Linked DNA regions of Ovis aries. The protein of the gene in region 1 binds, or shares a complex with, the protein of each later gene. Links are inferred from orthologs where the notes say so. Each region holds a gene or a part of one and is shown in the gene's direction. Other genes may lie near its edges.

Region 1 (4,316 bases):
CAACTCCTGGTGGTGAGTACCGTTATCACTTACAAGCATGTCCAGGCAGCTCCATGAGGGAAATCAGTGGTCATTTAACAGCGACTGCAGAATGAGGAAAAAGTGATGAAATTGAAATCTGATGTTTTTTTTTTTTTTTTTTACAAGTCTTTGTCTGCTTTTATTTCTTGTCAGTTAATATTTAGGTGTGGAATAGCTGGATCATACAGAAAGTGTTTAACTTTTTTTTTTTTTTTAATTTTTACCTGGTTTGATTTTTTTTTTTTAGTTTTTTATTTTTTAAATTTTAAAATCTTTAATTCTTACATGCATTCCCAAACATGAACCCCCCTCCCACCTCCCTCCCCATAACATCTTTCTGGGTCATCCCCATGCACCAGCCCCAAGCATGCTAGGCAACAAGCCCACACTTAGCACCTGAACTTTTGATGCATTGAAATCCTGAAGAGTAAAACTATAGGGGCACCTTAATCCTGTGCCAGCAAGTTATGTCTCCACTTGTCAGACTCTTTGTACAGAGAATGTGTGATTTTTTTCACATGTGTGCTTTTTGGCTAATAAGAGCATCATTTAAAATTACCAAACAAATTAGAAATCTCTGACACTCTCCGCTCCTTGGACTTCAGAGTGGAGCAGCATTTTTTTAGGCACTTTTAGTCCATTTTCTTCCCTTAATGCGTCAGAAATGAGAATTGTTGTTGTTGCTTGGTCATGACAGACTCTTTTTGACCCCATGGACTGCAGCACTTCAAGCCTCCCTGTCCTTTACTATCTCCTGGAATTTGCTCAAAGTCATGCCACCCAACCATCTCATCCTCTGCTGTCCCCTTCTCCTTCCACCTTCAGTCTTTCCCAACATCAGGATCTTTTCCAGCGAGTCGACTCTTCACATCAGGTGGCCAAAGTATTGGAGCTTCAGCTTCAGCATCAGTCCTTCCAATGAATATTCAGGGTTGATTTCCTTTAGGATTGACTGGTTTGATCTCCTTGCTGTCCAAGGGACACTGAGAATTGTAACTGGGCAGAAACTCTATGTGGCATTGGTCTCGGAACTCAGGGGCTGGCAGTTGTCAGGGAAGTCTAATTCCTGAAGTCCTATGAACTCAACCACTGCCCCAATGTCAGCTTGGCATTTGGGCAGGTAGTGCTGGGGTTCACCAGCATGAAAAGTGGGACCTGCCACCCACAGGGCTATGGTGCATAAATCTGATCTCAATTCAAAAATCAGAAAGCCTTGATGGGCTACAAACCTATACATGGAATTCTTACTTTTTCTCCAGGAAGTAGGAAATGATAAATCTCTTTGGTCAAAGTTTTCTTCACCTGTGCTAATGCTGTTGCTGTGTAATGCCTCAGCCGTGGCGTTTTTACTAAAACGGGCTTTTCAAAACCCATACTTGTCTTTGAGTTTAAGCTTGCACTCCTCACTGCACTGCAGGCCGATAATCGAGATATGAGTCGCTGGGGCAAGGAATAACTGCTTTATTCAGAAGGACAGCAGACCAAGAAGATGGCAGGCTCATGCCCCAAAGACCCATCTTGCCTGTGTTAGAATTCAGACTTTTTTATACTAAGAGGGGAAGGGATAAGTCAAGCATTTCCTGGTTCCCATCTGCCTCTAGAGGGGTGTGTTAAATTCTCCCTCCCAGCAGTGGAGGAAGGGCCTGGTCAGGATGTTTCCTGTGAATTAAACAAACATATTTTAGCTGAATGCTAATAGCTGTGGAGCAGGATTCCCAGAGATGGGGCATTACGTATAATTTAAGCTTATACTCAGCATCCCTTTAGTGATTAACTTGTAATAGAATACAAAATGTTCTTCCCTATTACATACTTACCAATTTACTTTTGTAAATCACTTCAGTTGAAGTGCTATAGTAAAGTCTTGAGCTCAAAGACCTGATTTCTTTGTGTCCATAGCAACTTGAACCTCAGTTGCCTCATCTGTAAAATGGGAATAGTCATTTCTGCCCTGACCATTGCTGGGTTGTGACAAGGATGTTCAAGACAGCTCTGTGTGATCTCCTGACAGTTTAAGGAAGCATAAGGAAGCTGTGGCTTTGCTAAGGAAACAGAGTCCTTTGGTGGGTCATTTTGGATCCTGAACCCTCATTATCTGGGCCAAAGTTATCTTGTTAGGTAGACAATCAAGTCATTCTCATACCAGAAAGTATGTGCGTTTGTGTTTTATACATGACTATCCACCCAATCACCATCTCTGCTCCTATATAGTTTTGGGAAAGAGAATTGCAAACAGTATGAGAAAAAATCCTTTGACCACACTTTGCCCTCTGTCTCTGTTGCTTGAGATGATAAACAAATTGCATTTCCCTTATGCCTTATAAACAGTTAAAATTAATAAATACAAATAAAGGGAAAAAATGCACCCCGTCTCCCTTCCACACTTTTTCCCCTGATGATGGGAACTTGGTTTCCAGGTGACTGATGCCGTCCTGCTTACCCCTTTTCTGCCAGGTCGGTGGCCACACAATGCTGCCCATTCGCTGGATGCCCCCAGAGAGCATCATGTATAGGAAGTTCACCACCGAAAGTGACGTCTGGAGCCTGGGGGTCGTGTTGTGGGAGATCTTCACGTACGGGAAACAGCCCTGGTACCAGCTGTCGAACAACGAGGTGCGTGTGTGGTGAGCAGCATCAGGATGCCTGGAGGGCTGACACTGAGAGATACCCCTGGGCTGGAAGCCAGGAAATGCTCTCCTGTGGCGTCCCTGTGGCTTTGTTGGGAGCAGCACCTCCCCATGGCCTGCCATGTACCTAAGTATCATGGTCATTCTCCAAACGTAAGAGTTCTGGAAAGAGAAAAGCAGAGCATTTGCTGATGTGCCTGTGATTCTCTGGTGCGGGGATCCAGGAGTCATTTCGTGCTGTTCATCTAGGAAATTGATAGCAGATGTGGCATTTTGGCACCCTGAGAGTCCAGCTAGCTCTTTTGGTATTATTCCAAGAAGCTTTCAAGCTTCTCTCCTTTTTTGCACATTTCACTGGTACATTACTTCTAGTGAAAAACTCAGGCATTTTGTTTTTCTTTTCTAATCCTTTTGCAATTATGTCTATATTTAAACATTACTTCTTGATCAGGCACCTCACTTCTCCAGGTCCAAGTCTGTCTTTTTTCCAATTCCATGATCCAAAATGACTGCTCATTTCTGTACCCTATGATTCCCTGGCACAAAAGTGACCCTGGTTCCATCTCAGGCCAGTACAACTGAAACCCATTGGAATTCCAGGGTGTGGTTTAGGAAGATTCCATCTAGATAAATTATTTCTCCGCCACTTTGATGAAATCAGTGTGACTTGAAAAATGGATATGAACCCATCAAATTAACCATGATATGCAAACCTAGAACAATTGCTTTCTTCCTTCTGAAAAAAGAGAAAGAAAGAAAGAAAAACACTGAGTGGGTTTCTTTAAAGCAACCCTCTCTCTGTACTGACATTATTGCATCCACATTGATTTTCCTCTAGTCTGATCCTGTCTCTGTGCTCCATTCCATCTAGGTGATAGAATGCATCACTCAGGGCCGAGTCCTGCAGCGACCTCGAACATGCCCCCAGGAAGTCTACGAGCTGATGCTGGGGTGCTGGCAGCGAGAGCCCCATATGAGGAAGAACATCAAGGGCATCCACACCCTCCTTCAGAACTTGGCCAAGGCATCTCCAGTCTACCTGGATATTCTAGGGTAGGGCCCATTCCCCCAGACCAGTCCTTCTGAAAGCACTTCCTCAGTTGGGCCGAGAGGATGAACGTCTTTTAACTGCCGCTCGATGCCATCAATCCGCTGTTCTTTGCTCTGACAGTATTAACAACAAAGACACTGAGAAGCTTTCCGAGGGAAGCGACGTGTACTTCTCCACCTGTAGACACAGTATGGACTTCTTTTTAGCATTCTCTTTCTCTCTTTCCATCTCCCTTCATTTATTCTCTAGTTTCCACCCCCCCTTTATTTTTTGTCTTCCTTGCTTTACAACCCCTACCTTTTCTTTTTTAATCAATCTGGCTTCTGCATTACTATTAACTCTGCATAGACAAAGGCCTTAACAAACCTAATTTGTTATATCAGCAGACACTCCAGTTTGCCCACCACAACTAACAATGCCTTGTTGTATTCCTGCCTTTGATGTGGATGAAAAAAAGGGAAAACAAATATTTGACTTAAACTTTGTCACTTTTGCTGTACAGACACCGAGAGTTTCTATGGATTCACTTCTATTTATTTATTATTATTACTGTTCTTATTGTTTTGGGATGGCTTAAGCCTGTGTATGAAAAAGGAAAACTTGTGTTCAATTTGGGA
Region 2 (4,910 bases), on another chromosome or scaffold:
TTGAACTGGTCTGAGGGGAACCTACCCTTTATGGAATCTCTCTTGGTAACGCGGTCTGCAGCTAACAAATTCAGTTTGGAAACCCCCGATTTACTCCAACCACCTTTTTACACAGAGAGATAGAAGAAGGTACAGATTGTGGGAAGCGTTTGATAAAGGTCGAAAATAATGTAACCTTTAAATAATTTAACACTTCTCTCTGAAAGGGAGGGAAAGGCACGTTTGGAGACAGAAATGGAGACAGACACAACCCCCCCCCCACACACACACACACACACATCGCAGTGACACACACAAGACAGAGTCTGGGAGGCAGGCACAGAGCCCAGCACAGGGACCCAAAGAGGACAAGACATATGAACAGTGGACAGAGACACCCAAGGGGAGAAGGGAGAGGAGGAGAGAAGAGGGCAGCGCCCTGGGAGAGGGTAAGAGACAAGGAGAGGGGGCAAAGACCCAGAGAAGGGGGCAGAGATCCAGAGGAGAGGGACAGGGGACACAGATGGGACAGGGACCCAGACAGAGGGAGATAGAGACCCGGAAAGTCTCTATCTCACCCCTACTACCCCATAGGAGAATGGAAGTTCCATAGACTTCTTCTGGTAGGGGGTGGGGCAGGTAGGATACTTAGGGATGGGGGAAGCCTGGAGAGGTCTGGGAAGTGACTCCAGTGGACGCTTCTGTGGGCAGGGCCCCTCCCCCATCCCAATAAACAACCGCAGCCACCTTGGCCCGGGATGGGGAGCAGAGAGGGGAACACCCTAATCCGGGGACACCCTTCCTGCCACCTTGCCATGCTATATTTAGGCTGACGGAGGGGTATGGGATGACCCCTGCCCACCCCACCCACCAAGGCGAGTGTCAGTTTTCCTTCTGAAAATAGCTCCAGGGGAGGGGTGAAGCAGTTAAGTCTGTCCCGGGGACTCTCAGCTCCTGTCTGAGTCTCCATCTGTCTTGAGGTCTCTCTTCCTCTGGGCTTCTCTCCCCTTCCTCAATGTGTCTGTCCCCTCTCCTGGTCTCTGCCTTCTCTCTGGGTGGGTATCTCCCTCTTTCTCTAGGAGTCTGTTCCCTTTTCTTCTCCCCATCTCCCTTCATCTGTCACTATTCACTTTCTCCAGGCAGGTCATTCTGTTCCCAAACCATATCTTTGTCTCCGAGTCCTAGAATACCTTGAATTTCTCTTATCTGAAACTCAGGACAAGACCCTCTCCCCAGTCCCCACCCAGGAAATTCCAGCAGAGAGGACTTATGTGGGAGAGACCCCCGCATCTACCGTCTCCCCGGGGCCTCGGGGCCTTATCACTCCGCGAGCCCAGCTGGTTAATGTCTGGCCTGGAGCTCCTGGGAGACTCGGAGATGAGAGCAGAGGGTGGGAATCTGCCCGGGGATTGACACTAAACTGGCTAGAGAACGCAAAGGAATCTCAGGCCCAGACTCCTGGGTCTGCGGAGGAGGGGGCTTGGGGTCTGGACTCCTGGGTCTGAAGGAGGAGGGGGCTTGGGGTCTGGACTCCTGGGTCTGCGGGGGGAGGGGGCTGGAGCTGAGGAAGAAGGACTGGGTTGGGGGGAGTCCTAAGGAGGAGGAAGCTTGGGGGCCCAAACTCCCGGCGTCTGCGGGAGGAGGGGCTGGGGGTCCGGACTCCCGTGTCCGCGGGGAGGAGGGGGCTGCGGACCCGGACTCCCGAGTTTGAAGGGAGGGAGGTGGGGGCTGGCGCCTGGCCTCCTGGGACTGAGGCGGGCTGAGCGAGCCAGGCCGGGCTTCCGAGGTCTCGGCACGCGTGTGGAAGGCGGGATCCCCCGGCCCCTCCTCCGCCGTCGGGCGCCGCCCCGCCCCCGCCCCCGACCCGGGCCCTCCGGGGCGTGTGCAGCGAGGAGCCGGCGGGCGAGCGGGCGTCCCTACAGCCAGCGAGCAGGAGGAGGAGCCGCCGCCGCGCCGGAGACGGCCGGGGGAGCCGAGGAGGGCGCCCCAGGTAAGCGCCTCCGCGCCTCCTCCCCCGGGATTCCGGCGTCCGGGTCGCCCGGCCCCCGGGTAGGGAGGGACGGGGGCGGGGCCGGCAGGGGCGGGGCTTGGCGGAGGAAACTGAGGCAGGAGGGAAGCGTCTGAGACGGACAGTCCGCGACCCCCGGAGCGGTCTCAGGAGTCCCGACCCCCAGGCTTAAACTTCCCGGGAGAGGAGGGGCCGGGGAGCCCGCGCTTCTGAGTGCCTGGGAAGGATGGGCTTGGACCCCAGAACTCTCGGGTCTGAAGGAGGACGGCACTGGGAGTCCGGACTTCTGGGTCGGAGGGAGGAGGGGTTTGGGGCGCCTGACTCCTGCATCTGCGGGCCGGAGCTGGTGACCTGGGTTCCTGAAGGAGGAGAGAGCTGGGGAGCGGGGCTTTGGGGTCTGAGCGAGGAGGGAGCAGGAGCCTGGACTCCTGCAAAGGATGGGGTGGGGGAGGTGGGCCGCCGGCCCCCACGACTCCAGGTCTGACGGAGAAGGCACCTGGGAACCAGGACTCCTGGTCTGAGGGAGGAAGCAGCTGGGAACTCACGCTCCCGGCTCTGGTTGGGTCAGCATGTACTCCTCTTCACACTTTCCCCTTCTCGTTTCCCTATCTCCCAGCCAGGGCAGGCAGCCACTCCAGGTATGTGCAGTAGAAGTCTTGGACGGGCCCTGGCCTGTCCTGTGAGCGGAGAACATTCCAGGAAGCAGCCAGGGGGACCCAGGGCTTCTTAAGTGTGGGCCCTCGGGGACCTGGGTGTCCAGGCCAGCCCCGCCCCCGCCCCATCTGTGAGATGAATGGGCCGAGGAGGATGTAATCTTTTCCAGCCTCCTTCATCCTCAGCCTCTCCCCTCCCCTCCCCTCCCCTCTCCTCCCCCCATCTGCTTTCCATCCAGGAGCTATCACCTGGGCAGAGCAGGGGCCTCTGGGAGGGGCTGCAGCCTTGACTCTCGGTCCCCTACACTTTCAGAGGAACACTGAGAAGCGGAGTGTTCAGGGGTTCAGGCCCCCTCCCCCACCTGCCTCTCTAACCTGCCTGTTCCCTTCTTCCCCTAGGTGGTTGCCCCCTCCCTCTCCTGAGATGTCACGAAGGAGGGGGCCACCTGTGTCCCCAACAGGGGCCCCCCGGAGCCTGGGGGCCCCCAGCCCCGGAGCTCGGAGGTGGAGGAGGTGCTGACAGGTCCGGTAACCACCCACTGCTTCTCAGTCCTTTCCCAGAACCCACAGGCTTCCAGAATGTTCTAGAGAAACTTCAGCATCTATGCCCCCACCAGCATCTCCCAGCCCTGGCCCAATTTCATGGATAGGGAAACCGAAGCCTCACCTGGGAGGAAGTGTCTTACCTTCTTACAGGCAGTTTTAAGCTGAACTTGGGTCTCCCTGGAATTCCAGGGCATGACTGTTCTCAGAAATTTTGGAACTTCAAGCCTCATCCAGGCTGCAGGACTTAGGGTTCCTTGGGGTTATGGAGGCAAAATGGCAGAGTGGAGTTGCTGGGACATGTTTGGAGTCCCACCTCTGGCATTTGCTGGCTGTGTGACCTGGTACAAGTTACTAACCTCTCTGAGCCTGTATTTCCCCCTTTATTGGCTATTATTACTAAAGAAGAATAATTATGATTAATCTAGAGGTTGGGCATTATCAAAGTCCTAAAATATAGGGGTCCTCCAAGCTTCTAGAACCTGTGGTTCTGTCATGCAGATGTCCCTGGAGTTGCCATGTGTCCCCCCACGAAGTTATCATCCTAATTCTAGCTTCCCTCTGTCTATCCTTAGGTGTTCAGCGAGATGCTCCCCCACCCCTCAGGCTCCCTCCCCATCCTCCTGCTTTTCCTCCTCCCCAGTGTCCCGATGGAGCCCCACCCCCCACCCTCACCCCTGCCCCCATTTCCAGCCCCTGAGTGGGACCTCTTGTCCCCCCGGGTGGCCCTGTCCAGGGGTACCCCCACGGGGCCCCCTCTGCTCTTTCTGCTGGAGTCTGGGGCCTTTGGGGAGCCAGCCAGCAGCCCAGCTAACCGCAGTCGGCGAGGGGTGAGCGAGACAGCACCAGCCAGTCGCCGTGGAGAGCTGGCCGTGTGTGATGCAGTCAGCGGCTGGGTGACAGACCGCCGGACTGCTGTGGACCTGCGTGGGCGCGAGGTGGAGGTGCTGGGCGAGGTGCCTGCAGCTGGCGGCAGTCCCCTGCGCCAGTACTTCTTTGAAACCCGCTGCAAGGCTGCCAGTGCTGGGGAAGGTGGCCCTGGTGGGGGTGGAGGAGGCTGCCGGGGTGTGGACCGGAGGCACTGGGTGTCTGAGTGTAAGGCCAAGCAGTCCTATGTGCGGGCATTGACGACTGATGCCCAGGGCCGTGTGGGCTGGCGATGGATTCGAATTGACACCGCCTGTGTCTGCACGCTCCTCAGCCGGACTGGCCGGGCCTGAGACCCAGGCCCAGGAACTGGGCAGGTAGAGGAAGAAGGAACTGGATGCTGAAGGACCTCAGGAGTAGCCTGGTTGCTCTAGGCCTCAGTCTGGGAACTTGTCAAATGGTCACACAAAATCACAATGCTCCGGTTTTGAGAGCTCATTCTGGGAAAGACAGATGATGAAACCAAATGGGGTTTTGAAGGATGAATAGGAGTTCTCCTGGATGAACTTGAGGGTAAAACGAAGATGATGATGATGATAGCCAATATTTCCTGAGTGCCTACTGTTTATGAACTCTAATACAACTTGTCAGATCAACTCTGGTGGATTTGACCATTGGAGTTCCTCAGCTTCTAAGCTGCTGACCATGTGATCTCAAAGGACATCACTTTGCTCATCCTGAAGAGAGTGACAAGGAGGGGATACTTAGGGGGGATTATAAAACTGGGGGGATTATAAAAACTGGAATAAGTAGGCAACTAGTTGGGAGCTGGGGTTCAAATAAGAAACCTTATTTGGTCA
Region 3 (4,912 bases), on another chromosome or scaffold:
AAAAGAAAACTAAAGAAAAGAAAGTTGTTGGGGGGAAAAAAATGTTTACTTGTTAGAAAGAAGAACTTCAGTGAGGTTAATGGCCTTAGGAAGCTTTAAGAGAGAAAACTCTTACCTCTAAGGAGAGCAGAAAGGATTTTTTTCCCTGAGATAATGAAAAGAAGGTGAATATAAAACAGGAATAGAAAATTCAAGGGAATTAAACAAGGTAATTAAGAGTGATCAGTAGGCAAAACCATTCACTAAGAGGCTGTCAGATTGGGGAATCCAATGAGTGAGAAAATGAGAAGAGGGAGCCTGAGCCAGTGATTGAGGAAAGCAAGCCTCAGAGAACGTATCAGGTAAATAAAAGGATTTCAAAGGTGTAACCCCATAACAGCCGCATTTCCCCCAAACACTGTGAATTGATTGGATGCCAGTAAGAAGGAAATTCTAAAATGCAAAGGAGGGATTTGAGTTCAAATGCTAAAAGAAAGATGATTTCCATTTTTCTTTTAGTATATAAATCCTAGTGAAACCTTTCAGAGAATAATAATGTGGAGGGGGTTAGAATTGTGAAGAGACTGTGGACTGGAAAAAGAAGAAGGAAAATGAGAAGTCGGGAAAACTTTGGATGAACAAAGCAAGGGTAGAATGACTGTGAACATCAGACTATTAAATTTTTACTTTTGAAACTACATTTGTAAACTTGGATAATAACTATGCATAAGTGGTATTTGGTTGCAATAAAAACTACAAAGTCAGTTACATATTTGTCTTGTGTGGTGAGATGAAGAGTCAGGCCAGGAGTCAGACAACATAATGTTGTGTCTGGTCTTTGACACTGACCATCTCTATGCTCTAGTCATCTCATCTGTCTGTGTCAGCTTCTACATCTGTAAAGTGGGCAGAATGCCAGTTATGCCTATTTCAGATGAACTTGCACAAATCGGATTTGAGTATACATGAAAACACTTTGTATGCTGTTAAATGCTATGAAGCATAAGATAAGTACAGACTTTTTCTGTGCTTTCTACCAGCTCACAAAGACGTTTCTTTCTCTTTGTCATTGTTCAATCACTCAGTCACATCCAACTCTTTGTAACCCCATGGACTGCAACATGCCAGACTTCCCTGTCCTTCACTATCTCTTGGAGTTTGCTCAAACTCATGTCCATTCAGTCGATGGTGCCATCCAACTATCTCGCCCTCTCTTGCCCCCTTCTTCTCCTGCCCTCAATCTTTCCCAGCATTTCAGGGTCTTTTCCAATGAGTCGGCTCTTCACATCAGGTGGCCAAAGTATTGGAGCTTCAGTTCAGCCTCAGTCCTTCCAATGAATATTCAGGACTGATTTCCATTACGATTGACTGGTTTGCTTTCCTTGCTGTCCAAGGGACTCTCGAGAGTCTTCTCCAGCACCACAGTTCGAAAGCATCACCCAACCATCCAGCAGGATGATTCCACTCCTCATGTTGGACTTGTCGCATCATTCCACCCACTACCTACAACTGATTGGATCAGGATTGAACACCGAATCCTAGATGGACCCATTAGATTCTCTCTTCTGAGAATTTAGAATTGGGACCAAGATTATCCAATTAGAAATGGTCATCTGAACAGAAATATCAACTCTGGAGTACTAGGTTGGCCATAGGCTGCCTGCTGAGAGTATGGAGAAGTAGAGAGTCTTTCTCTTGTCTAGAGAGAGAATAAGGCTGATAGGAAGGGAGAAACTGTGATGAGAAGGCACAGGTTAATACTTCTGATAGCTGCACAGCTCTGGGATCTTCCTGCTGAGGCCTGACTATTTTATTGCTTCTGTAAAACACTCCTGTGTCCTACAGATAAAATCCTTTTTTTTTTTTAACATATTATGGCTCAAGCATTTTTCTGTAATTTGCAACTAAAGAATCTTAGCTAAAGCAACACAGTGGATTTAATAGCTTCCCCCTCCAAAAAACATCATACCTACCCAGAACTTCAGAACGTGTCCTTATACGGAAATAGGATCTTTGAAGATATAATTAATTAAGATGAGGTTTTTGGGCTAGATAATAGTGGTGACTGGGGTTTTCATGAGAATACAATAGGACACAAGAAATATACACAGAGAAATCCATGTTGAAATGACGGCGGGCAGAGGCTAGAGTTACGCTGCCACAGGCCAAGGAATGCCTGAGATCACCAAAAGTTTGAAGAAACAGAAATTCTTCCTGAGATCCTTCAAAGGGAGTATAGTCCTGCTGATACCTTGATTTCAGACTTCTGGCCTCCAGAACGGTGAGAGAATAAATGTTTTTTCTAATTTATTTGTTTTTTAATTGAAGGATAATTGCTTTACAGAATTCTGTTGTTCTCTGTCAAACCTCGACATGAGGGAACTCAAACAGGGGTCTGTATCAACCTAGAGGGGTGGGATGGGGAGGGAGATGGGAGGGAAGTTCAAGAGGGAGGGGACATATGTATACCTATGGCTGATTCATGTCGAGAATAAATTCATGTTGGTTTAAAGCCACTCAGTTTATGCTGCTTTTTACAGCAGTCCCAGAAAACTGGTACAAGTATTATAGGATGGGATGTTCAAGCTCTGTTATAGAAAGGTCCAGGCTCTACACTAAGAAGAAACCCTTGAATCTCGTAAGTGCCTTTTAAGCCCACAGCCCCTTTCTGAGAAATAGGCCATTTGCAGTTTGTTCTGCATAAAGCTGTTCTATTTCTTGCCAGGTGAAACAAACCCTACTACTCCGGCTACACTTGGTTGGAGCCAAAGTCCCATGGGAATGGGCTAGCCAGAAGGAGGCCAAAAAGAGCTTGGTGTCACTGTGTATTGGACAGTGACAAATGGACTCAACCAGGAAACGTAAATACTAAATGAACAGTAGGCAACAATCCAATCCATGCTGAGCCTTTGTTTTATTTCTCCATGAGCCTATAGATCATCCCTGTCTGGGAAGCTCTGTGACCAGGAATGGCTGCCCCGGTGACAGGGGGCTCCTCATGCTGCTCTATGAGTCCCAGCTCTAAACCTCCATCATCAGAGACCATTCGGGCATGCTTCCTGTTTCAACCTGTCTTAGTCTGCTCAGGCTGCCATGACAAAAAGCTATAGACTATGATCTCAACATCAAAAATTTATCTCTCACAATTCTGGAGGCTGGGAAAGCCAAGATCAAGGTGTGGACCCATTAAATTCCTAATGAGGGCCCTCTTCCTGGCTTGCACATGACCACCTCCTTTGCTCTGTTCTCACAAAGACTTTCTTTGGTGGGTGCACACAGAAAGAGAGAGAGAGTTCTATCCTTCTTTTTTTCTTTTTAAAATTTTATTTATTTATCTTTGGCTGTGCTGGGTCTTCGTTGCTGCACAGGCTTTTTTCTAGTTGTGGTAAGTGAGGGCTACCCCCTAGTTGTGGTGCCCGGGATTCTCACTGAGGTGGCCTCTCTTGTTGCAGAGCAAAGGCTCTAGAGCAAGGCTTAGTCGCTGTGCACACCCTTAGCTGCTCTGTGGCATGTAGGATTCTCCCCTATCAGGGATCAAACCTGTGTCCCCTGCATTGGCAGGCAGATTCTTTACCACTGAGCCAGCAGGGAAGCCCCTCTATCCCTCTCATTATGCTGCTGTTTTTTAGTTACTAAGTCGTGTCTGACTCTTTGTGACCCCATGAACCCCATGTGACCCCACTAGGCTCCTCTGTCCATGGCATTTCTCAGACAAGAATACTGGAGTGGGTTGTCATTTCCTTCTCCAGGGGATCTTCCCTGGAGAATCTTCCCAACCCAGAGATGGAACGTTTCCTGCATTGGCAGGTGGATTCTTTACCACTGAGCCACCTGGGAAGCCCTCTTCTTATAAGACCACCAATTCTGTTAGATTAGGACCCCAACCTATGACCTCATTTAACCTTAATTATCTCCTAAAAGCCCTATCTCCAAGTATAATCACATGGGAGCCTAGGGCTTCAACATATGGATGGCAATAAAGACTAAGCCTACAGTACTCAAGAATGAATATGATGATCACGAAGATTTAATATTCATTTTGGGGGATGGGAGTGCAAATTAAAAATTTGTCCCCAATTTTGCCACTATTTCTCCTCCTTCACTCCTTGGTGATGTCACATAAAATCCCCAGTTCCCTGAGGTCTCCCTTTCAGAATGTCTGCTGGAGAGCATGTTTCATGGTATTGGCCCAGTCCTGCTAGAAGGCAAAAATGTGTTCTTGAAGTATACACACAGAGTCACTGATTTTTCTCCTTATTGTTTTGTTAGAGTCTTTTTACCAAACAGCTGGTTCATTCTTGACTCCAATGCAAAAGTTACACTGAAAGACAATCTAGGATTATTTCTGTCACCTTGCCAAGTCACAAAGTGCTTCTAAATTATAAATTATTATACATACATGTATATGTACATATACACATTTAAGAATATATATTTATATTATACATATATTTATAGATATATTTTATGTGTATTACACACACACATATATGTATGTCAATTATACTTCCTATGTATCTGATATTGTACTAAGTGATTTACATATTTCAACAGATTTTATCCTTACAACAATTTCAGGCTGTATTACTATTTTATAGTCCAGAAAATAAAAGCACAAAGAGGTTAAATAAGTTTCCTAGGCCCATACGGCTGCTACTAATGCTAGGACTTGACCCACACAGACTGGTTTCAGAGTTCATGCCCTTAACTACTATACTTTGCAGCCAAATTGATAAGCCATAGTCTCAGCTATAAGAAACTGCTAGTGTATTTATTGGGGCAAATGATGAGCAAGAGGCATAGGAAGATTGGAATCAAAACATTATTACAGAAAACATTATTTTGAATGAACCATCTCTCAGCCTACTATTTCTATATAGACTCTGATGGCCATATAGTAACTGCCAATCCCAGAAGTAAACACAACTTGCCT

The links. The genes of interacting proteins can lie anywhere in the genome.
Region 2: the proteins of NTRK2 (region 1) and NTF4 are in contact, whole or in part, in a crystal structure (PDB 1HCF), measured with the Homo sapiens proteins. The link is inferred for Ovis aries from reciprocal best matches to the Homo sapiens genes NTRK2 and NTF4. Residues at the interface, in NP_001018074.1 of Homo sapiens: Phe291, Glu293, Thr296, Ser297, Asp298, His299, Cys302, Pro304, Thr306, His335, Val336, His343, Gly344, Cys345, Asn350, Thr352, His353, Met379, Gly380, Trp381, Pro382, Gly383; in NP_001382418.1 of Homo sapiens: Gly81, Val82, Ser83, Glu84, Thr85, Ala86, Ser89, Arg90, Arg91, Gly92, Glu93, Leu94, Ala95, Asp98, Ala99, Ser101, Gly102, Trp103, Thr105, Tyr135, Phe137.
Region 3: the proteins of NTRK2 (region 1) and FRS2 are in contact, whole or in part, in an NMR structure (PDB 2MFQ), measured with the Homo sapiens proteins. The link is inferred for Ovis aries from reciprocal best matches to the Homo sapiens genes NTRK2 and FRS2. Residues at the interface, in NP_001018074.1 of Homo sapiens: Pro498, Asp499, Val501, Ile503, Gly504, Met505, Thr506, Lys507, Ile508, Pro509, Val510, Ile511, Glu512, Asn513, Pro514, Gln515, Tyr516, Gly518, Ile519; in NP_001036020.1 of Homo sapiens: Val26, Asp27, Asp28, Asp29, Gly30, Tyr59, Leu60, Cys61, Leu62, Arg63, Arg64, Tyr65, Gly66, Tyr67, Asp68, Ser69, Asn70, Leu71, Phe72, Ser73, Gly77, Arg78, Ile86, Ala88, Lys90, Phe98, Gln102, Met105, Gln106, Ser109.

Annotation. Positions count from the first base shown.
Region 1 is NC_056055.1:34,669,172-34,673,487, reverse strand, and holds part of NTRK2 (BDNF/NT-3 growth factors receptor), read left to right. Parts: intron 1-2,475; coding exon 2,476-2,634; intron 2,635-3,519; coding exon 3,520-3,705; 3' UTR 3,706-4,316. UniProt on the Homo sapiens protein: Receptor tyrosine kinase involved in the development and the maturation of the central and the peripheral nervous systems through regulation of neuron survival, proliferation, migration, differentiation, and synapse formation and plasticity.
Region 2 is NC_056067.1:55,321,155-55,326,064, reverse strand, and holds NTF4 (neurotrophin-4), read left to right. Parts: upstream 1-1,910; 5' UTR 1,911-1,969; intron 1,970-3,039; 5' UTR 3,040-3,163; intron 3,164-3,758; 5' UTR 3,759-3,770; coding exon 3,771-4,403; 3' UTR 4,404-4,706; downstream 4,707-4,910. UniProt on the Homo sapiens protein: Target-derived survival factor for peripheral sensory sympathetic neurons. May promote ameloblast differentiation and subsequent reduction in proliferation of ameloblasts.
Region 3 is NC_056056.1:150,335,285-150,340,196, reverse strand, and holds the start of FRS2 (fibroblast growth factor receptor substrate 2), read left to right. Parts: upstream 1-1,912; 5' UTR 1,913-2,260; intron 2,261-4,912. UniProt on the Homo sapiens protein: Adapter protein that links activated FGR and NGF receptors to downstream signaling pathways.